Linked DNA regions of Notamacropus eugenii. The protein of the gene in region 2 purifies or fractionates together with the protein of the main gene of each other region. This does not show direct contact. Links are inferred from orthologs where the notes say so. Each region holds a gene or a part of one and is shown on either strand. Other genes may lie near its edges. The genes, in order: dnaJ homolog subfamily A member 1, tubulin alpha-1A chain, DNAJB11 and HAX1.

Region 1 (7,707 bases), about 92 Mb from region 2:
AGTTTACAAGACCTCTGACGTTTAAAATAGGAGTTAGTGGAGAATGCTGAGGAAGGAAGAGAAAAATCCATTTTGGCCAAGCTTTGGAGCTGTTTGAGCAAAGAGACCACATTACCACAGTGGAAGGCTGTCAGGGAAGGTATTGCCTCCGGAATATTCAGGAAGAAAAAATAGCATAAACGTGCAGCACCATTGCCGTAAAAGAGATCCAAGAAGGATGTTGGGGAGCCCAAGGGATGGGAACAGTTTCACACAACGCTAGAGGAAGCAGCAGGTTGCAGAGGACTAGTAAGCCATACACACGAGTCCCTCTCACCTTCCTTTTCTTCTCCTCTGTGTTAGATTTCTATGCTCTATTCACTACTGAAAGTATTCACTACCTGTTTTCCTTTCTCAGGGAGGAGAAAAATGAAGGGGGAAAGCCAATTCTGTTCTCTATAACCTGCTATGCAGGGACTGGCATTCCAATGAACTGTTCCTCAAATAATTATTGTCTTTTTGTTGCTTACAAATGTATTACTCCTGATATTTAAAAAAAAAATGGTAATCACTATCACTGACTTATTTAATGATGGAGAGTTTGGGAGGGATTTTTGCCCTTAAAGAGACAGGAGACTTTTTTCTCTTTCAGTTAACTTGAGATGGGAGAAGATGAAACCTTGAATTCCCATGGGAGAGAAAAAAAGCATTATCATCCCCTCAATCTAGTCAGTCAGTCAACTAGCGAGAGAAATCATTGGGGTATATGTTGTTACAACTGGGACCATCAATATTACTGTACATGAACCTTGTGTTTTACATGTATCTTGCAGCTAGCCAAGATCATATCAATGGCCTCCTGACTTTGGTCCTTAGCCTTCTCCAGAGCTTTCTCCTGCTGCTTGGCTCAGCCAATCCAACCCAGGCCAAGACCTCACCAACCACTCACCAACTTTCTTGGCTTCTAGAACCTTTTCTAGCACTATGCTACTAGATAAGATCCCCTCAACCTCCAGTACCCTCAAGGCACTTCTCCAGCATGCTGCCAATACACTAACCCTATTCCTTAACCCCAACTGCCTGCTTGCTTGCTTTCTCCCACACACCTCAACATAAGCCAATGTCTTACTTCATATTCACCACACCTCTTTGCACTATGCTCTCTGAAATGCTTGCTCCCTTTTTAACAGTCTTCCTTTCATATAAAACTCTTTCTTACTCCTTCCATCTGGTACTGAGACCTGGCTTCCACTTGCTAGCTCTGCTTCCTTCTACAACCTTTACAATATTAGTTGCATTTCACTCATACCTCTGACTCACTGGCTATGGTAGCCGTTGGAATGAGTGCCTCTTGCTCCTCATGACCAGTTCTAGACTCAATTTCTATCACTATGACTCAGCAGGATCTCCTCCTTTGAGGATCATGATTTCCAAATTTATCCCCTGATCCAGATCCTGATGGCTGTTATCTAATGCACTGTAGGACATTATCCTTCTTTACTCAATAAATTCAGTTCATGGTTCATAGTCTTTTTCCACATCCTAACTCTTACATTCTCATTAAGGGACTTCAATATGTATATTGATGCTCCCTCAAATATCCTGACTTCTATTTCAGTTCGTATGACTTATTCCTTCCATTCTTCCTAAGCTGCACACACAAAAAAGTGATCATATCCTTGATCTTGCCATCACCCACAAGTGTTCCACTTCAGAGTTCCTTAATTTCCAAAGTTTAGTTCCAAAATTAAGTTCCAAAATTTCTCTGATCAAAATCCATTATACTTTATCTTTCCCTATGTATTACTATGTTTTTCATCCTCACTATAACCTCCATTCCCTCCATCCCTAAGTTCTTTCACAGATTATTACCTTTTCACCAGCTACTTTCTCCTGTTTTCATTATCTAAACCCTTAGTGAACAATTCAGCTCTATACTCTTGAATCCTTTGCTCCTTGTCCTACCATTGACAACACCTTGCCGAAACTCAACTTTCAGTCACTCCTACATTTTTCCTCCTTCCCTCCTATTCATGTACTGTTAACTAGAACTGCAGGAAATCCTAAGACCACATTAGTTGCAATAGTTATATAATCTCAAATAGACCCTCACTGCAGCAAGGTAATCATTCTACTTCTTCCTAGTCAACTCTCCATCTCATTTTCCACAGCAGGTATACCTAACCCTCTCATATCTCCCAGAGCCTTCCTCCATCCCCACCTTCCCTACTGAGGATCTCAACTCCTACATTACTGAAAAAATTGAGGTTATTCAACAAGAGTGGCTTTTCTTCAACTCTCATCTCACTTCATCTTGCCCTATTATTTCTTCCTTCAACAAATCTACGATGATGGGGTAGCTCTTCAGTTTGTCAAGAATAGTACCTCTATGTGCAAGGCATTTTCGAGGAATGGGAGAAAGGGAGGAGAGACATAGGGATAATAGCATGAGGGGATGGTAAAAATCTAGTGAGACTTGTATGACTTTGTCATCATGCCCTAAGAGAGGTGGGTGCCATATCTCCCAGAAGTTGTCACATCACTGTTGCCCTAGGAAGGAAGGAGTTCTGTAGTTCAGTAATTTCTCAGATTTAGCTTCCAGGAAGACAACTGATCAGGGCAGATAATATTTGGATATAGTTCTGGTTGACCCTCTCTCACCTTTCTTTATTCCATCCCCAGCTGAGAGTCCTTACTCTTAAAAGTTCTTGCCCCCTCAAGAGGCTCCATTTATCCTGGGAAAATGGTTCAGTTCTCCCTCAATTGGCAAGTCTCTTTTTCCTAGGGATAGTTCAGACAAATCATTCTTGGAAAGTTCCTGGGAGATGGAGTCATGTTGCTGGGAAGTGTCTTTCTTTTGAACCATATGAAGACGAATGTGTGATTTGCCTGGAAGAAAGGGCATCCTTGAGTTAGTAGCAAACCTGAATTCCTGGAATGGCAAGAAGGGAGTCTTTATCCGGCCATCAGTGAAGAAAAGAGCAGCTCTTCAGCGCAGGCCCCCAAAGGTGCACAGATTTGGCATTCTCCCTCCTTGCCCTACAACGGGTTCCCGGGAAGAAGATGCCATAGTGATCTGGGGAATGGAGAAGGTGGTGGTAGTAACAAAGATGATCTCATTATCAACACTAGCACTGAGTTTGCAATGGAGACTTCGCTACCTTGCTGCAAATGACCCTCACCTGTGAGAAGGATCAGTGACTGTTAGAAATACCACCTATGCAGTGGCCTAGATGGTCCTGGTAATTTTCCTGTGCATGCTTCACACTGGGCAATCACCTTCCCCACAGGGGATTATTAAAGTTTGGGACTTAGTCTTCACTTACACAGAACTGTTTGCCATTTTTTTCTTTTTTAGTGTTTATTTACTTGTACAAGGTCCTCCTCCAGTAACTTTCCTACCCCAGGCCTCTCACACCCTGAAGATCAGTCTGTCTAGTAGGAGCCCTAGTCATGTAAGTGGCCTGATAGCCCCGAACTGCCTTGTAGTTTAGACTTTATTTTTCATTAAAAGCATCCTTAAAATTAATTGGCCCGGGAAGACTCAGCTCAATTTCCTCAGCCCCCTCAGCTAAATCCTTGACTTATTCTTGATGGCCTCAAAAGGAGACAGGTGTCAGGCTTGACCAGCACACCAAAGGTGGGCAACAAATACATCAGCAGGGAAGCTGTCCTTAGTGGCTTTTTAAATGTATTTTTTTCTTTCAAATGTCCAAAAGGCTTTTTGGTATAAGGAAAAATGAACTGGCCTGGGAATCCTTGGGACCTGTCTGGAATCTCTGCCACCCCCGGGTGCTCAGGCCCCGGGACATCTTCCAAGATTTTAAAATTACAAATAGGGTGGAGATAATTTCTTTCTTTCTGAACATATTTTAATTCAGCCCATTAAATACTTCCCGATGACATTAAAACTCTTTTAACATTTAAAAAAATTGAGTTTCCAATTCTCCCATGAGAAGACAAGCAGTAAGATATCGATTACCCAAGTGAAGTCACTCCAAACCTAGTTGGAGAGAAGGCCACAAACCCGGAGGCCCATCCCAGTTAATCCGAAATTCCCGGGTGCTTTGCCCCATTAGGTGTTCCTTGTTTACTGAAATGTGCTTGCCAAGTCTCCCTTTTTCAAATTTATACCATTTTCTAACAGGCAGAAATGTTGGGATCGCCCTCAACATTAATCTACTGACTTAAAGTGAATGACAATCCTCACTAAGCCCCGGGGACCCGGAGGCTTTGGCCTGATAAAATCGGGAGAAACGGGGAAACCGGCGGAAGGATCCGGGAGCCATTACTCGATTTCGGGCGCGGGGCCACGGGGGCCATCGCCGGCCTGGGCCGGGGCCTCCTTAGGCCCACCAGCCCTAGCTTGGCTCCCCGGGCCCCGGGAGGTGGGGGAGGGGACGGGGCCGAGAACCTTCGGTCTCCCGGGGCCCTGGGCCTCTCCCTTCCCCCGCCTCCCCATCGCCAGCCTGGGCCGGGGCCTCCTTAGGCCCACCAGCCCTAGCTTGGCTCCCCGGGCCCCGGGAGGTGGGGGAGGGGACGGGGCCGAGAACCTTCGCTCTCCCCGGGTCCTAGGCCTCTCCTTTCCCCCGCCTCCCCAGCGCCAGCGCCGAACAGCCTCCATCATCCACCTCCACCTTCTCCCCCGTTAGAATATTCCGGAGTCCCGCCTCCGCCCCCCGTTACCCCAGTAACCGCCGCAGGGAGGGGGAGAAGCGGGAGGGGGCGGGGCGGGGCGGGACTTCCGGCGAGTGACGCACCTCCGCTCGGCTACAAAACTCGCCGGACGCGGCCGCGAGCGGAACTTTCCAGAAAACTCGGCGAGAGGCGGAGGGCAGCAGCTGCCGCTGCCCGAGCTCCGCGCGCAAGAACTCGCGCCCCCTCCCCCATCTTGTCTTCCTTCCACTCCATCCCCAAACATCCCCACCGGCTCCCGGGCGGTCCCCTCTCACCCCACCCCGGACGTGGGCATCGACACCGGGCGTACGGCGAGCGTCGCTCCCCGGTAAGTCCATCCCCACCCCCCACCTCGGCTCTCCCGCCAGAGCCGGGAAGGCCGTTGGCGCCTCTCCCGGGGTGCGGGGGCCGGGGCCCCGGATTTCCGAGGGGTGTTGCCCCCGCTCTGCAGCCTGGGCGCCGAACAATGGGCCTGGCGTTCTCCCTGGCCTCCTCGCCACCTCCCCGCCCCCCGCGATGTCGGTAGCTTCCCCCCATCCTCTTCTCTCCTTTTTCCCCTCCCCCCACTCCGGTCTCTTCGGTTCTTGGGGGGGGCGCACCTATTTGCGGGGGTACGGGGGCGCTGTGTGCGCGCTCTTGTCTGCGTGCGCGTCCCCGCTCCCCCGCAACCTCCCCCGAAGGAGCCCTGGATGGTGAGTGTACGTGTGCGCGCGCGCGCGTGGGTACAGGTACGCCGCACACACACGCGAGCTCCATCCCCGAGCGCCCATAGAGGTCGTGACCTCGAGTCGGGGCCGCGAGCCTCCTGTGGGGGTGCCGAGCGTGGCGGGGGGAGGCAGCGCCCACGTAGCGGGTCAGGAGACCGTGATCTCGGGGGGGGGCGCCCCGGAAAGGGAGCCTTGGAAGGAGAGGTGGGGGGCCGAGGCGAAGGCGGCCCCGGTGGGTCGGGGGACGAGGATGACCTGCCAGACGTTTAACTGGGGGCCTCACCTCGTGGTGGGGAGCCTGGCCCCGGGGCGGGGCGTCCCGGGGAGGTGGGAGGTGGGGGACCGGCCTCCGAGGGCGCAGCAGGGGATCCGGGGAAGCGCCTCCGGGCGGGGGCTTGTGGCGAGCCCTCCACCGGCCTGGGCCCCCGGCTCTTTGTCTTGTAGCCGGGTAGGAGGCGGCCTTGGGGAGAGGCAGGAGGGCTGGGACGGTCCCTAAAGGCCCCCAGGTGTGCCCAGGTGTTAGGGTTATGAAACGTGACCCAGTTCTTGGTTCAAAGGCTTGGGTAAAACCTTCAGAAATACGTAATCGATCAGCTGGCATCAATCGATTCTAAGTGCCTTCAGGTTGTGGTTTTAAGTGCAGACTGTAAAAATGGTGAAGGAGACGACTTACTACGACGTCCTGGGGGTGAAGCCCAACGCCTCCCAGGAGGAGCTGAAGAAGGCGTACCGAAAGCTGGCCCTGAAGTATCACCCGGACAAGAACCCGAACGAGGGAGAGAAGGCGAGTGGTGCTTCCTTTTTAAAGAGTCTTAGTGGGGACCGAAAGTAGGAGGAAGAGGAATCCTCTGATGACCGCTGTCCTGTCTGGTCTGCTTTGGGTTTGTGTTCTGTCTGGTTTGAGGGTCCGTGTCAGTGGGTTGACGAATCTGTGTGAAATGTGACGTGACCAGAACCTAGGTCCTGGCTGCACCTTAGAAGAACCTGCTTTACACTGTGGCCTCTTGTTACAGTTCAAGCAGATCTCTCAAGCTTACGAAGTGCTTTCTGATGCCAAGAAGAGAGACCTGTATGACAAAGGGGGAGAGCAGGCCATCAAAGAGGGCGGCTCCGGGGGTGGCTTCGGCTCTCCCATGGACATCTTTGACATGTTTTTTGGAGGAGGTGGGAGAATGCAGCGCGAACGGAGAGGTAAGCAGGGGCTTCAGAGAGTCTGCGATGGCAGTGAAACAATGGCTTTGTTGTCCTTGGAGTTCCTTAAAACGGGAACACTTTCACGGGATAGGCACCTTTCGCCTGTCCTGTACATATCTGTAGAGGTTTAAAACAAAACAAAACAACCCCCCCCCCCCCCCAGTGTTAATTAATCCTCAGCGTCCAGTTTTAATTTATTTGGATTTGGGGGGAATGCCTGATGTTACTTGACATAAATGACCCCTTTTTTGTTGGCTTCATGTCATCTGCAGTTTGAAAAGCATGCCATCTCTAAGCCATTGACAACATTCTGAGTAGAACTAGGTAAAAAGAAAATGTTGTGGTGCTTACTCAACTAGGAATTCCTTCCAGTTGGACATTGATCTATTTATTAATCACTATTCTGAGTCTGGTTGTTGAGGTTTTTTGTGAGCTTTTGCTGTCACCTCCCCATTGTGGCCATTATCCCATTTATTAATTTTTTTAACAGAAAAAACCCCCTCAAAATATTGTAGTCCACCAAAACAAATATCTAGTACCGTCCTTGTGCAAAACGTGGTCGTGTGCATCTGTATGTCTGTAGCTGCATTTTTTATCATCTGCAGCAGGAGAGGTGTTTCATCCTCAGTCTTCTGGACTTGGGGAGCTTATCATTCTTTGTATTGATCAGAGTTCTCAAAATCTTGATTATTTTTCTCTCTGAGTGTTGTAACTGTTGTATCATCAAATTTATTTCTGTTTAGTTTACTCTGAATTAGTTCATGGTGGTCTTTATAGTTTCTTCCCAAGCTATAGCATATATGTGTGTGTGTACACACATACATGTGTGTATATATGTATATATACATACCTATACATTACATAAAATTTCATTATTTCTTATATCACAGTAATATTCCATTATATTCACGTCTTCTTATTTAGCTCTAATCACCGAGTGTAGATTTTACCCACATATTTACCATGTAGCTCATCTCACAATTAGTCAACAATGAAATATTGATTAACTTTGCCAGATACCTTCTGAAATTCAGAAATAACAATAGGTAAGGATAATTCCATACACATCACCTTGGTAGAAATCTATTAACCCTCCTTTGAAAAAGATAGTTGTCATCTGATGTAATTTTTGGATAAAACTGTTGGCTCT
Region 2 (7,661 bases):
CTAATGTGAAAATGTATTTAATAGGAATGTACGTATAGAATCTATATAAAACTGTATGCCATCTCAGGGATGGAGTGGGGAGGGAGGGGGAAAAGAGGGGAAGGGAGAGAAAAAAATCTAAGATATATGGAAGTGATTGTAGAACACTAAAAACAAATAAAATAATTTAATTTTAAAAAAAGCTTAACCAGGAGACTCAATAATATTAAAACAAAGCCATTTACTGAGATGGCATTGTAAAAACAGTAGCTGTGAAACACTGCCCTCACAAATCAGGGTCATAGCAAAGGGCTATAATACCATGCATATCCTTTGACCCAGCAATACCACTGCTAGGTCTGTATCCCACAGAGATCATAAAAAAGGGAAAAGGACCCACATGTACAAAAATATTTTGGAAATTGAAGGGATGCCCATCATTTGGGGAATGGCTGAACAAGTTGTGGTATATGAATGTAATGGAATAGTATTGTTGCGTAAGAAATGGTGAGCAGGCAGACTTCAGAGAGGCCTGGAAAGACTTATATGAAGTGATGCTGAGTGAAGTGAGCAGAACCAGAACATTGTACATAGCAACAGCAACATTTTTCGATGACCAACTTTGACAGACTTAGCTCTTCACAGCAATACAATGATCCAACACAATTCCAAAAGATTCATGATGGAAAATGCTATCCACATCTAGAGAGAACTCTGGAGTCTGAATGCAAGCATATTATTTTCACTTTTTTGGGGGGGAGGTGTTTTTTCTTTCTCATAGCTTTTTCCTTTCTGTTCTGACTCTTCTTTCACAACATGACTAATATGGAAATATGTTAAGCATGATTATACATGTACAACTATATCAGATTGCTTACTATCTTGGGAAAGAGGGAGGGAGAAAAATTTGCAACTCAAAATTTTATAAAAAAATGAATGTTGAAAACTATCTTTATATGTAATTGGAAAAAATAAAATACTGTTAAGGAGAAAAAACCAAATTGGGGGAATATTGTGGGCACACACAAAGAGAACCTTAACAGAGAGGCATACAGAGAATACATGTGACCAAGACAACTCATGCTTCTAATACTGCAGGACCCTAACATCATTCCTTTTCTCATGATACTCTTACATTGTCCCACCCTGGGCATGGTGTTTCTGCAGGGCATGTTGCTTTGCTTGGTTCTTGGTTCTCTGGGCCTATTCCCTGCTGTGTGTCTGTGTGCTACTAAGCAAACAGCTCTGCTGTAAGAGATTTTTGTCAGTGGGAGTGGGGAGAGACATCCTCTCCTTCCTATCAAGAGGTAGATCTTTCTTCCATGGTTGCTCTCTTTCCAAATGCCACAGCCCACACTCATCAGAGTTGACACCTACCTTGACTCATTTCTTAGTGTAATTTGATTTTTAAAAGTTGGAGAGGGAGCATGGCCATTCATTCTGCCAGCCAATGCCTAGCTCCACTCTAATTTCATTGAGCTTGAAGGAAAGAGACTCACATTTATTAAGTACCTACTGTGTGCCAAACTCTGTAGAACCCTCCCAGGGAGACTGAGGACTGCTTCCCCAGGAATGAGGGCAGTGAGCTATGTGTCACATGTGGGTTGCTGAGGGATAGAATAGTTTCCAAGTTGTTTCCTACCAGAACTACCAAGTTATGCTTCAAGAATATGGCAATGCAAAAAAAATGGTGGAATCAAATACTTATTGAGCACTACCTATGCCTAGCCCTGTGCCTAATGTTTTGCAGATACCTATGCTCAGGGAAGGACCAGACGACCAATTGTTAGTGTAATTTTAGATATACAAGGTGACTCAAATGGGGTGGATGTCTTGTGAATATTGCAATTTTCCATGTTCTTTTCCATTGTTCTTTTTCCATGCCCTGACTGATGAAGGAATCTTTTCAACTTTGCTAGTCATATGTCATATGTAACCCTCCTTTTGGCTACCCCCTCCAACTCATACTCACTGGCTGGGTTGGGGGACGAGAGACCCCCCCCAACTTCAAGGTACTCTGTACATCCACAGTTCTAAAACTATAGATCATAGGCCTATATCACAGATCTAGGTTATGAAATAGAGATATTTCTTTGGATGTCATTTAAGACCTTAATACCTTATTGCCTCCTTGTACCTTATACTCTGTAACTTCATCAGCTAGGCTAGAGGGAAATCAGGGGCCTCATAATCAATTCTCCTCTCACTGTAATATTATAATAAAAATATTTCAATCATTAATAATGTTGTTATAAAAATCAAGTTAAAACTCACAGAGAGAGGTTCCCTCCTGCTTCACTTGTTCTACTTACAAGCATGAACCATAGAATTTAGACAAAGGAACCTCAGAGATGATGCAGTTCAACCTGCAGATAAAGACAATGAGACCAAGAGAATTTAAATTACTAGCCTAAGTTTACATAGGTAGTAGTAGACACTGCCTGTCCTTAAGCAAAAAACAAAATCTGTTAGTGCAAGTTGGAAACTGGCACCAAAAATTACATAAATTTACACAAATATTTTCTTTTCTTTTGCCACAATCTGCACGTTGAATAAGTGTGATGAGGAGAAGCAAATAGAATAGATTAGATAGTTCCCTGCTCTACCATTTAAATATTTAATAGCCACAAGCCTCACTCAAATGGAGCCTCTTCTTGACCTAGATCTTACTGTTACTAATACGCAACAGAAAGTTCATTTACATAAAGTATATAACAGCTCTGAGATAAATTTACAAAGAAGTCATTTCTATGAATTCTCCCTCCTTTTTATTTAGTTCCCTGTAAACTGCACGAAGAACTGGGAAGATAGTATGGTTATTCATTAATCTTTTGTATCACATAACTAAATCAAATTCAGGGCGGTGCCCCTTTATCCAGACAGGAGACTGGAACTGTACGCAATGCAGTAGTTCAATAGCATTGGAATTTGTCACTCTCAGAATTATTCAAAGAAACACCTGAGCCAAAAATTCAGCGAATGTGTATCCTTTAATTTTTATTCTAATTGTCACTTGCATATCTGGGATAATAGGGGATTCTATAGCTTTCCCTCAGTCTTGCCTTTTCACTAAAACCTAGCTAAAGACAAAGAAATGAAACCAAAATTAGATGTTGAAGTTGTTCTTTTTATAGAATCTCAAAGAAACAGATAAAATAAACTTGTAGTGTTTTCCTATATGTAGAGAATTTGACCTGATGAAGAAAATCTGTGAACTACAAACTAGAAAAATAGCTGGTTGCCTTTCTTAGAATACAACCTGCACCAGCTGTCTCTTTTTGGCCCTTCTTTCTTCTCTCTATGCCACACCCTGCTTCCTAGTCCTTGGGGAATGAATGGGGTCTGCAGAACATTGTACATGGTGACTGGAGATCCAATATGTCTCTGACAGAATAAAAAAAAACAGTATCTGCTCAAGAAGAAAGTATGGTGAGTTGAAGTGAATAAAATAACTAACCTCTTTCCTTTTTTATTTTTCATCTGCATTGTCAAAGTAGTACTAGTTTCAACATTAATTCTGCATTAGCAATATTGACAACATGCCCTTTTTACAAAGCCTCCCCAAAAAAGGAACAGCGATCTGATTTCTGAAAAGAAGCAGAGACTGTCTGGGTTATTTATGAGGCTTTTGAGCAATTCAGAGTCTATTGTTCAAAAGCAATATGTACCTATAATACCAATAGCCAACACACATATCCAAGGCACAACACCCCTCCCCCCCATACATAGCTAATTCATAGGAGCTACAAATTTCAGTGTATTGAGATAACTGATTACATAAATTCCAAGTTGTTCGTTCTTGTCTGGTAAAGTATTCTTTTTTCATCCCACCTCTTGTCCTGTATGGTGGTCTCAGTTCTCCAGTACCTATTATTTTCCCAGCAAATAGAAGAATAAACGTTAACTGTCCACACAGGAGAGATGTCATGGCCAATCATTCTTTTATTTTATTTTCTTCAGTGGTGAATCAGAAAAGGTTGATTTCTTTTAAGATGCAATAAAACATACAAAATATGTTCAAACAGAGTGCTGTTAAAGGAACATTTTCTACTTAAGTAGAAACTATTCCCTTTTCTTCCCATTTCAAAATATGTTCAGTAAGCCTAGATCATTCTCTTATAAGACTTTTTTTTTGGTACAGGTTCCTGTGGAGACTTCTTATTTGGTTCTTAGATTAAATTCTTTTTCCATTTATGCTTGTCCATCATTTTCCTTGGTCATAAAACAAGGCTCAGAAATACCTTGGAATGGTTCGGAAATAAATCTGCAATAAATTTACAGTTAGAGATGCAACTTAAAAACAAATAATCTTCTTTCCCCAGGTCCTCTCAAGCTTCATTTCACTTCCTCTCACACTTCATTTTTAAAGCTTACAAAAAGGTTTCAACCTTCACCCTCACCTAATGGCTATTGCAGTTTATTTCCTAAAAGAGGGAAAGAGGCCTGAGGTCACTTTTTTTGGTTGTTCATTATTTTACTTCAACACAGACATTCTGCTTTTTAAGTAAAGAACTAATCCTCCTACAAAGGTGTAGTTTTGTGGTTTAATCAGTATAAACTCATCCAACCACAGTTTTCTTTTTTTCCCCTTCTTCCACCCCCACCCCTCTCCTGCCACTCCCTATGATGGATGCTTGCTTGGCTAACTGCTTTGCTTGGTCTCTTTGTCTGAAGGATGCAAACAGTCTATGGATGCTAGAGAAAAAGGGGTGGGGAAGAGATTACCTCATCCCATGTCGTGTGCACCAATCACAATTCTCTGGTCTTGGCTTCTCCGGGCAGATTGAGGGGTCTGGACCAACTGGAAAAAGCCCTAGCCCATCCCCATGGTGACAGAATTGTATATAGGGAGCTGTATTGGACCATGTGCAGTAGGTTCTCTTACATCGACCGCCTAAGAGTCGCGCTGTAAGAAGCGTCAACCTCTCTTCTTCTTCTCACCCATCGACAGCAGCCGCAAAGCAGCAATCATGGTAAGGTTCCCGATCTCCTTTCTTATGTCCTCCCTAGGGGATATTAGCGCAGTGAAGGTTGTTGGTGGTGCTGCTTGCGAACCTCAAGTCCATTTTCTTTGCAGCTTCTTAGGACAGCTGCTTTGTTTGTGCCTGTATCAGATTTCTTGCTCTTAAGCCTTAGTACGCAGACATGGCGGTGCGGACCAGAATTGGGGGCAGGCGGCCGAAAAACCAGAAGGAAGAACAAAGGAGAAGGGAGGGGTTTGGGAGTAATGGTTAGCGACATTTCAGTGCCGCATAGGGCTGGTCACTGCAGGCCATCTGTCTGGGATGATGCAATGTCCTGAGGCTGGGAACCGGCGATAGTTCCACTGCCTCATGTATATTTATGTGTTCGTGTTACTTTCAGTCTGGCTGCTCCCATCCCCCTCCCCTTTGACTGCAGTGTTGGGTGGGGCGGGAGTGGGGTGGGGTGCGGGGGATAGGGACTGGGTCATTGGAGAGACTAAGCAAAGAACAGGGTTTATAAAAACCAAACCAATAAAAATGAGAATATGTCACGTAAAAAAAAATACACATTTCCCCCGTAAAGTGCTAGTTTCTGTTAGTACTTTTGGTAGGGGGAGTAAGGGTGGAGTAGAGGGCGGAGTCTCGTCGGGTTTTGTGTGTGTGTCTATCTCCTTGGAATCGCTATGCTCTTGAGCAGGAAATCTTTATTATTATTATTTGTAAGGGGGAAAAATGTCTTTTAATAAATTTGATTAACAATCACATAAAAGTAGGCTTTTTGAATGGCTGAGAGGATTGTGGATTTTCTCCTCCCCACCCAAAGATAAAAAATAAAAAAAGTTGCGAAAGGTCTGGGGAGATAATCTCAGTTCAGCCTGGCAAACCCCAAGGGTTTACTGCCTTGACAACTCACCCAGAGTGAACAAGATGCTCATTTTTCAAGTCAGGGTAAAGTGCGGTCCTTTCAGGACCCTGGGGAGCTGTCCTGTCTCCTCTTCCACCCCAGCAAGAAATCAAGTCAGTGAATAGACAGTAGAATGGGTGCCCTAAAGAAGATCGAGACAAAGAGAACTCTCTAGTGGATGTGATCAGAATATTCCACAGAAGGCAGGATATATTGAAATGCACCAGAAATTTGAAACAAACCAAACCTTGTGAGATCTTGGTGGGTTGTTAGGCTTTTTTTTTGTTCTTTTGATGTTGTTTCAGTTTGGGAAGGATTCAGGAATTCTGATTTTGAAAGGCTGTCTTTTTCTAAGCACTTGCAGAGAAATGTTTGGAAAATATTACATGGAGAAAATTAAAGACAAAACAATAAAATACTGAGGTCGACAAAGAAGAATTACATCTTTCTAGTTTCCTCTTTTCTGGCATATAATATGGAGACCACCTTTTGTTCTGGTGTCACTTCATTGATTCATTTCAATTATTCACACACAGGGTCCCAGAAGGAGTCAGAAGAGAACTGGCAAAATAATATAATGAGATCATGCAGCCAGTTGCTGGAATTAGAGATGGCTATGTTAAATAATACAGTAGGTGCAAAGCAGACACTAGGCAGAAAAAATGCAGCAATGCAGCAAAGGGACAGCTAGCTTTTATTGATTTTAGCTCTGATTGGGTCGAGTGCTCCCAGATTGGGTGTGGTCTCCCCTTTTCAGCAATAAAGCAGATGGCTATATTGAAATATCAAAATCCTGCTAAAATGGGGGTCCTGCTCTTAAGGAGAAAGGGGTAGGGTGGAAACTAAGCTTTCTTAGATCTTGGGAAAATATTTCACTTAAGAAAAATAAAGTGTGGTAGACCAATTATCATGTAATCCACAATTAAACTGAAATCCATAAACCTTTGACTTGTGTTTATTCTCTAAGAAAATATTTCTAACATTTCCACAAATTATTATTTTTATATGATTTATTCACAGTATGAACAATAGATTTGGACAATGTGCTGCTGCAGCCAACACAAAGCATTGTTCAGGCCACGCCCAACTATAACCCTTATAGCAGATTGCTTTCTAATATGTATATAATAAATGTCAATTTCACAGGTGAACTTGAAGAATAGAAATATATTTTTATAAAAATAACAGAAAAGTTATATATCTTAATCAAGTCTAATTTTACAATTTCTTCTAATTTTTTTTTTGTTTTTATGCAGCGTGAGTGCATCTCTATCCATGTTGGCCAAGCTGGTGTCCAGATTGGCAATGCTTGCTGGGAGCTGTACTGCTTGGAACATGGTATCCAGCCTGATGGTCAGATGCCAAGTGACAAGACCATTGGGGGAGGAGATGACTCCTTCAACACCTTCTTCAGTGAAACAGGAGCTGGCAAACATGTCCCCAGAGCAGTGTTTGTAGATCTGGAACCTACTGTCATTGGTATGTTTAATTACAATTCCCTAAATCCTCTTGAAATTTGAAACTGTCAGTGTCAATTTATAATGAACCAATCCTAAAATTAAACTTTTATTTTGTGTAATTCCATTTGTCTGAGATGAGACTATTTATAGGCTTCTTTTCAGTTTCTGACCATGTAAAATCTTGAGGAAAACTTTTAAAATGTAACAAATATCTCCTTTTGATTGTTGACCATTTGTCTTTACCTTAGCAGTTAGTAAGAGAAGACAGAAAGACTCTTACCTTGGTGATTTTACACCTTTTTAATTTTCTTTCTTTCTGTCTTTCAGATGAAGTTCGCACTGGAACCTACCGCC
Region 3 (7,801 bases), on a different chromosome or scaffold from region 2:
AAACACACAGTTTCTACACAGACTTCCACAATTCAATGACACTTAAAAACCTTGAGACACATTAATGCTTTATTTCTAAGTAGTGGTGAGATTATATTTACTTATAAGGAAGACTTAGTGGTGCTCAGGCACCATCTCCAACCAGACGCCTTTCCTAGTGTTCTTCAGTTTTTCATATTCTCTTCTTTCTCAAATTATTCAGTTTGGCTTCTCTCTACATTTATTTTTAACCCCTCAGAATGTAAAATCCTTGGGAACAGAGTTTTGGGTTTGTTTTTTTTAATTCCCACTGCCTAGCAGAGTACTTTTCACATAGTAGATACACTTCTTCTGTGCTGGTTGAGTTGAAAAAATAGAACACTTTGGAGGAAATCATCTCATGGTACTAAAGAAATGACTACCTATGACCTCCCATAGAATCCTAAAGCGGTAAGCACCTTACTAGATCATATTGTCTGGTCCCCTGCCTTCATTCAGACACCTTATTATCCTCATTCTACAGATAAAGGGAGGGTAACATCTAAAAGGTCACACAGCTAATAAATGATGGAACAAGGACTAGAACTCAGGTCTTCTGCCTCCAACTGTGCTCTCTGCACTACTTCACACTGGCACTCAGAGGTGGCCTAGACAGGGACACAAGGAACTCAAGATGCTGATGATGTCCAATAAACTCCATTGGGTTTGGGAAGGACAATGGTTCCCAAAGGTTCTCCCTTCCTTTGTCTCAGTGTAGTTTGTGTCTCCGTTACACACCACTCAGCTTGACAGTCACTCCTCAGCTTTTTAAAAAGACATTCCCTCCAGAGGGGAAACATGACATCAACTCCCTTCTCCCACACTAGTCAGTCTGTCCATAGGCCAGTCCCCCAGTAAAGGGGAGCACAGACCTGTGACTCGCCCATCAATTTCTCAGCTCAGCTCCTTTTCACCTCCTCAGTCTTCCACTGGTCATGCTCCCTCCTACCCCAGAACCACAGAAGAGGAGTTGGAAGGACTCTAACCTTAACCTGAATAAGACCCTGCTCTCTTGCAACATTAACTTATAAATCTGGTTACTGAGCTTTTTCTTGAAGACCTTACTGCCTGCAGTCCATAACGTCTGGAGGCCTCCGTCTCACTTTCGGATAGCTTTAGTCATTAGCAGTTTTTATTCTTGTTTTTTCCCTTTTCCTCAGGGCTCAAGTAGCCACTTTGCCACTTCTGCCTGCTGGCTCCTAATTCAGTCCTTCGGGGCCAAGCAAAACACGCTTCTGTTCCCACCTGACAGGTAATGACCACGGCTCCTACAAGTCTATCTCCAGACATTTCTAGTAATGCACCTGCCACGGACCCCTCCTCATAAGAGCCCTGCCCCACCCCAGACAGTCCTACCCCCCTCAGCTCTCTCTTAGCATGGTCCCCCTATTATGCACCCCAGACAGTCCTACCCCCCCCCACCTCTCTTAGCACAGTCCCCCCACTCTACCTCCCCCAGGCAGTCCTACCCCCCTCACCTCTCTTAGCACAGTCACCCCACTCTACCTCCCACAGGCAGTCCTACTCCCCTCACCTCTCTAAACATGGCCCTCCCCAGGCAGTCCTACCCCCCCCACCTCTCTTAGCACGGTCCCCCCACTCCACCTCCCCCAGGCAGTCCTACCCCCCCCACCTCTCTTAGCACAGTCCCCCCACTCTACCTCCCCCAGGCAGTCCTACCCCCCCCACCTCTCTTAGCACAGTCCCCCCACTCTACCTCCCCCAGGCAGTCCTACCCCTCTCACCTCTCTTAGCACAGTCCCCCCACTCTACCTCCCCCAGGCAGTCCTACCCCCCTCACCTCCCTCAGCACGGCACCCCCCAGGCAGTCCTACTCCCCTCACCTCTCTAAACATGGCCCCCCCAGGCAGTCCTACCCCCCTCACCTCTCTAAACATGGTCCCCCCCAGGCAGTCCTACCCCCCTCACCTCTCTCAGCACGGCCCCCCTACTCTGCCCCCCAGGACGCCCCCACTTTCCTCACCTTCCAGTCCCGTCTCCCTCATCCACTCAACCTGCTCAATCCTGCCTCAGGCCAACCTCAGTACCGGATGTGACCCCCCAGGACGGGCTCCCTCACCTCTCCCCCAGCGCCCCCCAGGTCCCTCCTTCCATTCCTCTCTAGCCAGGACGGGGAGCCCAGCCCCCTCCCTTCCTGCTGGCACCGGCAGCCCTGCCCCCCAGTCCTGGACGCTGCCCCCTCATCCCCTCCCCCACCACAGAGAACCCTGACCTCTCAGTCCTCAGCTGCCCCCAGCAAAGCTCCGAGCCCCTCCACCCCTGCCCCCTCAGTCTCTCCCTCACACGGCCCCCAACTCCTTCCCCATCACAGCCCTGCCCCCCCTCAGTCCTCAGACCCCCTCGTCCCCTCCCCCATCACCCCCAATCACCGGCAGCGCTTCCCTCCCTCAGCCCCTCAACCCCCCCGATCCTTCCTGCCCCGCCTCCTCATGCCCTCCGCGCCGAGGCTGTCTCTCCTCACCCCGCCATCACGGCTCCGAGCATGTAGAGCAGCAGGAGGCACAAGCCGCCCAGCCTATGCGGGGCCATGGTCAGTCTCCTCAGCGACAGCCCGCACCTTCTTCCCCTATCCCGGGAGTCCCCGCTCCCCGCGGGAGGCGGGGCCGATGCACCGCCAGGCCAATCAGTGACCAGGGCATCAGCGCGTGCCGGCGCAACGACCAATCACCGACGGACACTTCAACGCCTAGCTCGCGTTCCCGGGAGGGACGGACCCGGAGAGCGGCATCCTAGGGTCGACCAATCACAGGCGGCAGCGTCACCGGCGTCGCAGCGCCCCCTCCTTTTTCCCATAGAGATACGCGGCTCTCGGATTGGAGCAAAACGACGGACTGCTGGCCAATTGCGGGCAGTAGCGCTTTTCGTGAGCCCCGCCTCCTGTCTCGCTTTGCCAATCCCTAAAAGCGATGGCTCGTCTTACCTAATCCCGAACCAATCATCGGGAGTTTTACGGCAGTCCTAGACTGGGACACAGGAAGGTTAGGTTTTTTCAAAGTCAGGGCTGGACTGCAACTGAATCTTTACTGAGCCCTCACCACTGATACAGACTTCCGAGGGGGGCATTGTCAACGTGAGAGCCGAGAAGCACCACGTGATCTCGCGGCAGACCGGGCCGAATTCGTCTCGCAGGAGCCTTCCGAGGCCGCTCCAGATCTGCCGGCGGACTGGAGTGTCTCCTGCTGTGCCTGCGCGCCTGCGCCGTGGCTCCCCTCAGCCTCCGCAGAGGAAGCTTCTGCGCAGGCGCTGGGGATGTCGGGGCAGTCCCTCTCGTCCCGCCCCCTGCTCTGCCTCGGGCGGTTCCTGCAGGTAACGTCCAGGGCCGGTGGTCTGGGAGGGTGGGGGTCATTACGCCTTCGGAGGGCAGTCCCAGGTTGACCCATGATACCCCCCCTTTTAAGAGAGGCGGGCTCCAGAGCTCCCCATTTGAGGGGGATCTCAGGTTCTCCCTCAGTTGTGGGGGGTCATCCCATGCCGTCCAATTTTAGGGGGCCCCCCGGCCTCCCCTTTTGAGGGGGATCCAAGTTTCTCCCCATTGGAGAGGGAGGGTCTCAGATTATCCCCATTTGAGGAGGGGGTCCTATGGTCTCATTTGCTGGGGCATCACAGCTTCTCCTGTAAAGTGGGGGGTCATGCAGCCCCCCAATTGGGGTGGTAGTGCCGTCTTCCTGGAGGTGATCCCACGGCCTCCTTTGGGGGGGAGGGGGCTCGGTGGGCTTCCCTCTGGAGGTGACAAGTTGGGGGATGGTCATGTGGCCTTCTCGAGCGGGGAGCAGGGAGGGTCCGGTTGGGGAGCGCCCCCCCTAACATGGGACCCAAGTCTGTCTCCCTGACCCCCCCAAGTTGTGCCCCTGGACTTGCCTCGGGTGGGAATCCCAGGGGTCCAGAGGATCCCAGAGGCCCTGGGGAGATGGGGGAGGGATTGGAAGCTGTCTCCAATTGTACAGCTTGCCCCTTCAGCCTTAAAAGGCACGATCCTGCCCCTCCCAGGATAATTTCAAAACCAAACCAAAGGAGAAAGTTTGGAGTCGAACTTCTCATTCAGGGGGGCATATGCGGGAAGCCAGGGGACACCAAGCAGGAAACTTGTATTGACCCTGAAATCTGTTTCTGCTCTCATCAATTGATCCAAATTGTGCCCTCAGGAATGAAACACAACCAGTTTCATCCCTTTTCCTCATGACAACCTTTCGAGTATATACAGACAATTGTCATGTTCCCTCTGTGTCTTTTCTTCTCCAGAATAAACATGTCTGGTTCCCTCGTTCCATTCTCAGGTGACAGACGGTTTCCTTTAGCCTCTTTGTTGTTCAGGTGGTTTGTTTTCCAAAGATTCCAGAGGGGAAAGATTTCAGCACAATGGCCTGGTTGATGTGTGCTTAAGAAGTAGAATTCATTCCAACTGTGTGAGCTTCACCTTGTGAAGCTTTTCTATTGTAGTGGTCAGTGCTGCCATCCAGCCTGCACCGCCCTGCTGCATGCCTCACTTGGTGTCTCTGGTCCTTGGGTCACTGAAGATGGTCATCTCTTGTGTCTTTCAAAGACTCTTGAAGGACTTTTTGTATCCCCAACCCTTAGCACGGTGCCCAGCACGTAGGAGATGTTTGATATGTGCTTATTGACCGACTGTTTGGATGGGAGACACCATGTAGGAGAGAGCCTTGTTCAAAGTGGCATTTTCTTCTGCCAAATCACAGGCTTTTTAAAAGCCAACAAACACCTTAGATGCAGTCATTTGTGTAGTGGTAAAGATGTGGTCCAATGGAAAAAAACACTGGTTGTCAGAGGCTGCCTGTTTGCTGCTAATCCCCTCGATCCTGAGGATGCCAATGATGCCTTTGGGGCTGATTCTCAGGGAAGTTGTAAAGTTGGTACCTGGGTGGGTGGGCAGCAGCCACCAATGTTCTCTTGCTCACCTGTGTTTGGTATTGATAGGGGCTGAGATTTTGTTTCCCACCATTGATATTTCCCCTCCTTGAAGGGAAATCCCTCATCACCCTCCTAATGGTGCTTGCTTTGGTGTGTGCCTCCTTCTTGCACTCTTACCTGAATCTAGCCTTCTTCTACAACCCTAAAAGCCCAGCCAGGGTCACTGTCAGAGTCCAGGCACACTGACTCCACTGTTGCAGACGGAGAGAAAATTTGATTGTGAAAACTTTGGCAGCTTTTCCGTTTGTCTTCTGGGCTTTGTCACCTTTAATGCCCTGGAGGTAACTGCCTCCTCTGCTCCTGGCAAACTCTCTTCAGGCTGGCTTTAGTCCCCATAATCTTTCATTCTTCTTTGTGAGATCATCTTACAAGAGTATGATCATAGAAGACTCTGAGGTCTATAGCACACAAACTGCTTTTAAACCATTTCCATGATCTGATGACTTCCTCCAGCCCAACAGGACTTTATAATACCTCTGTGACCTTAGGCAAATCCCTTACTTATAAGATGAAGGGAGTAGACTCCCCGACTGAGTTTCCTTCTAGTTTTAATTCTTTTATCTTATAAAATCATTGCATTAATTTCAGCCAAACACACTGGGTTTCTTGTGGGCTGGGCACCTTGTGATAGAGGATGGCTTGACCAAATAGGCACAAACGGCTAGCATGGACCATACAGGTAGGAATTGTTTTGTTAAGTAGTCCCAGCTGCCTGTAATTCAGTATAGCCAAACTGCCGGCCTTTCTGTGCTACTTCATTTAAAAATAGTTCACTATGTTGTCAGCGCCTCAATGATAAATGTATGTATGTTTTTGTTTCCAGTTAATTTACACAGAAACTTTGTTTCCTAGATTTGCAAAGGAGCCTCTTGAGACACAGATGGTGTCTGAGTTAAAATGGAGCAGTCAGCTGTCCACCTGTGGGTGAGAACAGAACCGTTTATAGTGGGCACTTTGCCTCTCCCTCCTCCAGCCAAATTCAGCCTTCATTATCTCAGAAAGATATCCACATATGTTCGAACCCGAGCCAGGGAGGGAGGTTACCCACGCCTCTTCTGGCCCACATGGAGGCACATTGCCTGTGGGAAGCTACAGTTAGCCAAAGACATTGCTTGGCTTTACTTTGAGATCTTCGATAGTCTGGTGCCAAGGACCCCAGAGGAGCGTCTGGAATGGGCTGACCTGATGTCTAGCTGCACGTGTGAGGAGGATATGGAGAAGCAGAGGAGTAAGGTAGGCCTTTGGGCCCAGTATTTTGGGGTTCAAACAGGAGAGAAACTATCTTTTCTACAATTGCAGTGTATAGGTTGGGGAGGCCATCAGAGCAGTTGGCAGTGAGGACCCCAGCGTCTCTGGTTCAGAATTAACCTTAGCCCATCCCACATCATTGTAATCACCTTCTCCAGCAGCAGCAGAGCAGGGATCCCCATGGAGAAGGAAAACAGTTTGGAGTGGGGGGTGCTGGGCAACACACTACACTAATTGTAAGGTGGGAGCACACATAGGAGGGCTTCTAGCACATTCACTCTTGATTCAGACAGACAGTAAGACAGGAACAGAGACATAATAAGAGATTAAATATTACTTTATTCTGGTCTAAGGATTGCTGATAATGGAAGCACCAGCTCCTATAGCTTCCCTACAACTCTTCTCTCAGGGACCGGTGAGAATGGAAGTTCCAGCTCCTAGCATCCCCTGACCCTTGATGGGGGCTGGTCAAGGAAGGACACATGTATTCCCCTTGAAGATTCCCCCTAATCCTTGATGGGCGGGCCATCATGCGCGTACAGCATTCCAGCTTGTGCATTCCCCTCTAAGCACAGCATTGCATTGTCAGATTCTCCGCTTACTGACCAATGCCCCCTTGATTTATAGGGTAACAGACAAAGAAGGCAGTTTGCCAGCAATAACCTCCCGAGTTTTCATTATCTCATTTTTATATCTTATTGCGCAGTCGCAATGGATATTTATAACTTTAAGTACAAATGTTTATGTATTTTATCATTATATAATGCTGTGCAAGTGTGGTGGAGATATTGACAAGCCACGAGCCTGGGAACTAGAGATTATTATGGCCATGATCCTGGGAACTAGTATCTTAAGAAGAACTAACAAAAATCCACCTTCCACATACTTACAGCTTCTTAGCCCAGAAGTTGTAATTATTCTTTCTGTATAGGAGTAGTTTGAAAATCTCGTTAATTTTTCAAATTAAATTCCTTTAAATGCAGAATTCTTGGGAGCAGGGCCAGCTCCAGGCTTTGGTTTTATTGATAGAGGAAATTTTTAGGCAGCTTTTGTCTGTAAGAGCTTCCTGGAGTACTAAGAGGTGGATTTCCCTGTAGGAGCAAATATGTACCAGAAGCTTCAATCCCCAGATCAGGTCAGGTCAGATCTTTCTGACCCTGAGGCAGCTCTGTCCTCTCAGTCTGGAGCATATCACACAGTCATGTGGATAAACTTAAAAACAACAAAAGCCAGAAATGTTTGGTTGTCCTCATGAAGTGACCCAAATTGCCTAAAATGTCAGGTTGAAGCTACCTTTGAGATTCTGTGGGTCAGCTCTTTGGTGATCAATAAAAAAAAATCAGACAGGTAAAATAACTTGTCTGAGGCCACCCAGTCAGGTAGTGACCAAGCTGGGCTTAGATTTCATGTTTCCTAACTTCCACAATTTACTCTGTGGCCCTATTTTTTCAAGGTGCCTTATGTAAAATAAGTGACATTGGAGAGTCAACTAAAGAACTATTGCTACCTTGTGATGAGCTACAAAAAAAAGAACAAGATGCCAACTTCAAATTTTGACTGGGAAACTGAAATGAAGAAAACTCTGGAG
Region 4 (6,881 bases), on a different chromosome or scaffold from region 2:
ATGCACATCCTGACCCCCCATCAGCAGCCACACTCCCAGATCCTCCATCACCATCTGCAGCAGGATGGCCAGGTAACACACCGTTCCCCTCTTGTCTTTCTTCCCCCACTGATCCTTTTCCCTACCACTCCTTAAAGCTGCCTCCCCCTTCCCTCTTCCCTTCCCTTTCCCCATCTATCCCCAGCGCCGGCCATGGGCACACAACACACACAGACACAAGCGTACACGACACAAGCGGCCGGCAAGGGAGTTGACAGAGAGGGGGCCAGGTTGGGGAGCTTTTTGCTCAGCCCGATAGGTACCTGGAGGGGGTTTGAGTCCCCTCCCTGTTGTGGCACACTTCATCCCCTATATTTTCCCAATAGCCCTGGACCATGCCCCACCCCTCCCCAATCCTGCCACTATAGCTTTCCCTTCTAACCATGGATTTCTATTGTCAAAGTTTGTCCCTTTATTTTCCATATATCCTGGTTCTGCCTCAGCTACCATATTTGCAGATGATTCTCTGTTGCCAGCGCCAGCAGGAGGAGCAGGTAATGAAACTCTCTGAATGATATAATTGTACCTACCCCCTGCCAGTCCCAAACCCCACATGCCACAGCCCTGGGGAAATCAAGGAGAAGAAAGATTGCGCGGCCACAAATCGGGATACACAGACACACATAGACACACTCACACACTTTGCTGGGCTCTCCGGCCTCCCCTTCCCTTCTCCTCCTCTCCTTTTCTCTCTTCCCAACTGTAGAAGGCACTTGGCTACTAGAGTGGATAGGGTTCTTGGGAAAGCATCTGAATCTTGGAAGCCTTAGACAAGTCTCCCCTCTCTACCCTGCTCAGTATATAGGGGTCCAGTGATATGATGGGGGGTGGAAGGGGTGTTATGGAACCCATTCTTTTAGTGCCCTATCTCCACAGCAGAAAGTAGTGCTCCCTTGTTTCTAAGGCAGTGCAAATAAGGAGTCACAGGGATCAAAATCAGTTTAACCCAGCTCTTTTGACCACTCATCTGAGAATCTTTTTCCAGATGAGTGGCCTTTTTGGTGAAGTGGAGGGTTAAGATGAAGAATGAGCAGAAACTGACTTAGTCCCTTAGATGAGCTCTGAAGGTATCTTGCCCTCTGCATTTTCTTGTCTTGAAATCAGAATTATGCTATTGCTGACCGAAGAGGGACTAGAACTTCCAAGGGTTCCATCGATTATGCAGACAACAACTTCTTTGGATTAAGGGCTTAAGGGAAAGTGTAGCCTTTGAGTGGTCTTTTGGCAGGAGGAGAAATGGAGGAACATGACAGTTCCCAGGCCTTCCCACCCAAAGGTCCCTGCTAATTGGCCTCCTTTCTCCTCCCTGTCCTCCCTCCCTCCCCCCCCAACCCCAACATCCCTTCCCCTGCAGACGGGCAGCGGGCAACGTAGCCAGACCAGCTCCATCCCGCAGAAGCCCCAGAGCAGCAAGTCTGCCTACAACAGCTACAGCTGGGGGGCCAACTGAGGCCCTGGCCCTCTTCACCTCCTTGGCCCCCCTACCTGCCGAGAGGGCCTCAGCCTGGCACCTAAGGAAACAGCTACAACACAAAAGCACGTGGAGTGGAGGGTCCTGCTGCCCCCCCGCAGCCTGCCCCAGGCCTCAGCTTCACTTCTGAAGGCCCTTTTCTTTCCTCTCCTACCTATCCTCTTGTATGTAATATAGGATTTGTATTTTTTTCCTTTCTCTTTTTTCTTCTCTCCCCACACTACCCCCGCATTCAAGATTATGAAACTCTTTGCTGTGGGCTCTGGCCTTCCTCTTCCTCTTCCTGCTCACCCTGGTGGTGGGAAGTGGCTGGGGGAGAGGACTCCAGATAGATATCATCAGCCTAACAGCCCTGTCTCCCTTTTTATTATTAGGAAAACAAAACAAAAAAAGTCATGAATATGAACAGATTTGTCAGATGAATTAGTTGAAGTGGTTTTTTTTTTTGTACTGTGTCCTCAAATTTAATGGATTAATGTGTCTTGTATATATAAAAAGAAAACCTCTACCTTCAGCCTCTGCCCATTCTTGCTTCGTCTAGGATGTCCTCAGTCTCCCTGATGACCAGCTGGGTGAATAAGTATTACTGTACCAACTGGGCCTCTACTAGCAGGCTCCGAAGGCAGTGGAATAAAATGAAATCTTCGCCCTTTAACAACTCCTAACCATGATGTGCCGGTGTCCCCTTCTTCCTGACACTGAGTCATTCGGCTCAATTCTCAGAAGCACTTCACCTTTAGTGTTAAACTAGGAAGTGAGAAGGGCAGTGGGGAGAAACTGGGTTGGAAACAATGTTTTCGCACAGTAAAGCAGTGGAACATGGGCTGATCTAAACATATTACTTGGGAAGCACCCAGGAGTGGGGTACACAACACTGGCAGAATCAGTTTGTGATTTTCTGGGAAGGGTCTTGTTTAGGTAGAAAGGAGTGGAAATACAGAGTACACTTTGGGCGGGGTGAACAATAAATCCATCCGACCCCTCCCCCTAGCCACCGCAACTCCAGCTTCCCTTTCCATCTCACCATCGTTCCCCCTTACTTCCACATCTGTGCTACCCTCGGGGCCCACGGAAAGCTAACCCCCTTGTGGCTACAAAATTTAATTAGGGAGGAGGATGGAGGAAGTCTGTCTTCGTGTCTCCATCTGCCTTGGTAAACACAGAATGCACCTTGAAGACATCTTGTCCATCTTGCTTTTAGACGTATCAGCCTGGCAAGAATCAATTTCAGAACGTCAGAGCCGACAGGCACCCTGGAGACCGTCACCTCGATCTCGAGGGTTTTACCCCGTGCTCCAACGTGGCCTGTCCTGTTCTGATTCAGCCTCTGCCAACCCCCAGAGCTGTTCTCTCGGCCCCACTGATGAGGCTTCCCTGCGCCTTCCAGCAGGAACTGTTGCCCTGTTTGTCCCAAGGGAAATCTGGGTTCGGCCCGCGTATCCTGGAGAGCTTTCGGGCTGCCAGAGCGGGCGGGGGTGGATGGAGCAGGGCGCCTCTAGCAGCTTTGTGCCCGAGGCCCTGCACTGTCTGGCTTAGGTTTCCTGACCAGACCGATCCCCAGCCCTCTTCCTTCCTGCCCGAGCTCTCAGCAACTCCAACCCGAGGGGTCCTGGGTTTCCTGTTGCACCGGCTACTCTGGCCTCCCCTCACACAACGCAGGCTTTCTGGGCTCTGTAGCATGGTGGGGCCGGGAGCATCAATCTAAAGGGGCAGGGTTGGGGGGCAGGAGCTGGGCTGCAGGACCTCCCCGGGAGCAGCCGGAGGGCAGGATCCGGAGATTCTGCTTCCACAGCCACCTGTCTCACGAAGCCCCCGGGGACCGAACCACGGATCTCCGCGGGAGTAAAACCGCTTCCTCCTCCACTTCGACCCGGATGTGCCCCTCCTCCGGCCCTCCTACAGTTCAGCCCGCTCCTTGGTCCTGCCCCCGCCGGCATCGCCGCTCCCTCCTTCCCACGAGCGGGCTCTTACGTTCGTTTTACGACAGTGTGACTACTTTTCCGTCAGTGTCGCAACTACCCTAGTAGCGCAGTCGGTCCGTCTGCCCTCCTCGCTTTCCGGCAGTACGGTCGTACTGCTCTCTCGCTTTTCGGCAGTGTGGCCGCATCGAAACCTCCCCTCTCCCTCGCCCTCTGCCCCCACAGTCCTAAGATAAGATCACTTTCCGGCAGTGTGGTGGATCCCCGCCGTCTGGTGCCCTTCCGGGCCTTGGGGTGCGGGCGGGTGGAGGGTTCGAGTCCCGCCTGAGGGATGAGCCTGTTCGACCTTTTCCGGGGCTTTTTCGGATTCTCGGGGCCTCAGAGGTGAGAGTGGGGCCCGGACGGTTAAAAAAATGGGGGGAGCCTTCGGAGGGGGACCCCGGCCCCTGACATCTCCCTCCTTCGCCCCCTGACTGTACGGTGCACCCGTCCAAACTGTCGCAACAGGTGGCGGGGGTGAGGAGAGACAGGGGAAGGGCTGTGTGTATGTCTAGATGTCAACAGTCTTCGCTCGCATGTTCACACGCACACACACGCACACACACACGCACACACACACGCCCCAAACCCAGCCTCCCCCGGGCTCCGGCCCGCTTAGGTGCCCTTTCGGTGTCCACGTCCTTGTGCTTCTCTCTCTGCCTCCCAGACCCAGGGACCCCTTCTTTGGAGGCATGACTAGAGAAGAGGATGAGGAGGACGAGGAGGACGAAGGAGGGGGCGGCGCGTGGGGCTCCAGGTTCGGCGGCCCTGGGGCCCCCGAGGACTTCACGTTTGGCTTTAGTTTCGGGCCTGGAGATGAGATGCGATTCCACGATAACTTTGGCTTTGATGAGCTGATTCGAGATTTCAACCGCATTTTCGGAGACATGGGGGCCTGGACCCTGCCCTCCCGCGCCCCCGGTGCGTGAAGCCCCGCACGCTGGGAGGCAGGAGACACGCTTCCTGCCCCCCCCCCCCCCCCCCCCCCCGGGCCCTGACGTGCCTTTGCCCTTTTGCAGAGCTCCCAGGCCCGGAGCGCCCAGACGGGAGGCGGAGGGAGGGCGAGACCATCCGGGACTCGATGCTCAAGTACCCAGATAGTCACCAGGCTAGGATTTTCAGCCGGGACTCGGAGAGCGGGCCAGGGCGTCCATCTCCCAAAGCGGGCCCGGACTGGGACTCCAAGAGGCCACTCCGTGGGGTGAGGCCCGTTCCCCTGGAAGAGCCACCAAACCTCGGGGATGTGGGAGAAATCCGGGGGACGCAGTTCCTCAGTGCAGGGAGCTCTTAGTCTAATGAGGAGACAGCGCACAGCTTCCAGGACGGATGGTCCAGCCCGGCTGCAAACGTAAGGGCATTAGTGCCGGGGCGCCAGGAGGCCAGACAGGAGCTGAGCTTGGCAGGGTGGAGAGTGATGAGCCTCGGGGAGGAACCCCCAGAAGGCAGAGAGGCCTCCGAGGCCTCCAGTCTGCAGACAAAGGGATGGGCCTTGTGCTTTGTCAAGGCCACAGGACGCGAGGGAGCAGAGCCAGACTTCAAACCCAGGTCCCCTGCTTTCACGTCCATTGCCCTTGTCACCATACACAGGGGGCCCCAAGGTAGCGAGGGTAGTTCAGGAAGCGGGGTGGGGCAGAGGATGGAGTTAGGGAGGTGACCAGAAGGGACCCCTTTCATCAGCTGTGGTTTCTTTTGCAGTTTGATGACATGTGGCCAGTGACTCCTGATGCTACAACCAGAGAGGACAAGGGTATGTGCCAGGGAAGGGGCAGGGCCACAAGGGGTCCTTGATTACCTTCTCAGACCCTTGCGCTCAAGTTCACTTCTTATCTCTGAACATTGCCAGCTTGCTTTCTGAGTATCTGATACCCCTCCACGACTTTTTTTAATGCCTCATCTCTTCTCACCCCCCCCTCCCCCCAAACCAGATCTTGATTCCCGGGTCTCACAGGAGGGCCTGGGTCAAGTCCTAGAGCCCCAGCCTAAATCATACTTCAGAAGCGTTTCCGTTACCAAAATAACTGGACCAGATGGGGTGAGCTAGATGGGGTGGGTTGGGGGTGGGAGGATCATGAAGGGCTGGGGTCCATGGAATATGTCATCTGTTCTGATCCTGAATATGTGGGATAACTGTTCCCACAGGTGGTAGAGGAGCGGCGCACCGTCATAGATAGTGAGGGCCACAAAGAAACCACAGTAACTCGTCGAGAAGCAGATGGCAGTTCTAGAGATGGTGAGTTGAAGAGAGAGGCAATGGTGAGACCATCCCTGAGCTACAGAGGTGAAAGGCCCTTGAAGGAGAAGCTGAGTTCTAATTCTCTTCCGTTTGCTCTCCTTAGTTCCAGTCTACACTATATCAGGCTATATCCTGTTCCCCTTTACCCTCTTGACCTCTCAATTAAATCCACTTAACATACCTTTATTAAATACCAATTACTGTGTTAAACCCTGGGGAGGTAAAGACAAAAATAAAACTATTCTGCCCTTAAGAGAGTTACATTCTAATTGGGGTAACCACATGTACACAGATAACTAAATAAAAGCACCCAGAGTTATTTCCTCAGAGAGAGAACTCAACCCAGCAAGGGGATCAACCCATGCAAAAGGACTGGAACTGGGGGGATGAAAGTTATTTTCCAGCAAACAGGCCAGTGCATCTAGAATTCAGGATCCTCAATCTGACACACTTCTGGTTCATTCCTTCCTGCCTGGATATTTAATTCTCCTCTAGATTCAGGTACCCCACAACATCCAGAGTTGGGGGACAGCTCCTCCATCCTGAATTCATTCCTAAGACGATGGTTCCGGTCTTGGTAGCCCAAGATGACTTCATGGAGGACTGCATCCCTCCCCTCCTTGGCCTGCTCATTACCATCTAGGGTTCCTGACATCACCAGCTGGCTCAGCTGATCTTCCTGCCACAATGAGGGTATGGGGGAGGAGGGGTAGGAAATGTGACAGGTAAAGAAAGAGGTACTCTTCATTTCCTCTCCCCCTTGTCACCGCCCAAATAAAATCTTTATTTATGCTACTGCCTCAGTCTCTTGGTGTGTCCAGCTCCCTGTAGGGCCCATCTGGGCCTTTTGATTCTCTTTGATCTGCCCCCACCTCAGAATGAATGAGAATCAAGTATAAATATTCTTGTATTCCTGTACTTGAATCAAGTATTAATGTTCCTAGTGAGGAACATTCCTCACTAAGAAATAAAGTTACTAGCATAAAAGTTTTTTTTAAATCACAGCAGTTCTAACCTAGTACATTTAGTAAAAAGTAATGGACGTTATCAAATGCTGGCTATTTGAGAGGGCCTGCAGAGGAGACCAGGGACTTAAAGAGAGGTTAAGGAGGCAGTTTATTCAATCTTTTCTGTTTCAGTGTTCACATAGGATCATAGGCTCAGAGGGCTTTGGAGGTCA

Evidence for each region.
Region 1: the proteins of tubulin alpha-1A chain (region 2) and dnaJ homolog subfamily A member 1 purify together in Homo sapiens (affinity purification with mass spectrometry; 3 studies listed by BioGRID and IntAct, with this or other methods). This does not show direct contact. The link is inferred for Notamacropus eugenii from reciprocal best matches to the Homo sapiens genes TUBA1A and DNAJA1.
Region 3: the proteins of tubulin alpha-1A chain (region 2) and DNAJB11 purify together in Homo sapiens (affinity purification with mass spectrometry; 3 studies listed by BioGRID and IntAct, counting the BioPlex papers as one, with this or other methods). This does not show direct contact. The link is inferred for Notamacropus eugenii from reciprocal best matches to the Homo sapiens genes TUBA1A and DNAJB11.
Region 4: the proteins of tubulin alpha-1A chain (region 2) and HAX1 purify together in Homo sapiens (affinity purification with mass spectrometry; 3 studies listed by BioGRID and IntAct, with this or other methods). This does not show direct contact. The link is inferred for Notamacropus eugenii from reciprocal best matches to the Homo sapiens genes TUBA1A and HAX1.

Annotation. Positions count from the first base shown.
Region 1 is NC_092874.1:312,841,980-312,849,686, reverse strand, and holds the start of dnaJ homolog subfamily A member 1, read left to right. Parts: upstream 1-4,694; 5' UTR 4,695-4,984; intron 4,985-5,920; exon of another isoform or gene 5,921-6,006; 5' UTR 6,007-6,015; coding exon 6,016-6,147; intron 6,148-6,376; coding exon 6,377-6,554; intron 6,555-7,707.
Region 2 is NC_092874.1:221,086,152-221,093,812, reverse strand, and holds the start of tubulin alpha-1A chain, read left to right. Parts: upstream 1-4,647; 5' UTR 4,648-4,949; coding exon 4,950-4,952; intron 4,953-7,103; coding exon 7,104-7,326; intron 7,327-7,634; coding exon 7,635-7,661. UniProt on the Homo sapiens protein: Tubulin is the major constituent of microtubules, a cylinder consisting of laterally associated linear protofilaments composed of alpha- and beta-tubulin heterodimers.
Region 3 is NC_092873.1:55,002,548-55,010,348, forward strand, and holds the start of DNAJB11 (dnaJ homolog subfamily B member 11), read right to left. Parts: upstream 3,016-7,801; 5' UTR 2,569-3,015; coding exon 2,501-2,568; intron 1-2,500. Other genes in the region: TBCCD1 (TBCC domain-containing protein 1), read left to right, coding at 5,863-6,198. UniProt on the Homo sapiens protein: As a co-chaperone for HSPA5 it is required for proper folding, trafficking or degradation of proteins.
Region 4 is NC_092873.1:378,176,426-378,183,306, forward strand, and holds HAX1 (HCLS1-associated protein X-1), read left to right. Parts: upstream 1-3,877; 5' UTR 3,878-3,983; coding exon 3,984-4,389; intron 4,390-4,487; coding exon 4,488-4,669; exon of another isoform or gene 4,670-4,816; intron 4,817-5,163; coding exon 5,164-5,215; intron 5,216-5,393; coding exon 5,394-5,500; intron 5,501-5,607; coding exon 5,608-5,698; intron 5,699-6,196; coding exon 6,197-6,282; 3' UTR 6,283-6,496; downstream 6,497-6,881. Other genes in the region: UBAP2L (ubiquitin-associated protein 2-like), read left to right, coding at 1-72, 483-533, 1,394-1,489. UniProt on the Homo sapiens protein: Recruits the Arp2/3 complex to the cell cortex and regulates reorganization of the cortical actin cytoskeleton via its interaction with KCNC3 and the Arp2/3 complex. Slows down the rate of inactivation of KCNC3 channels. Promotes GNA13-mediated cell migration.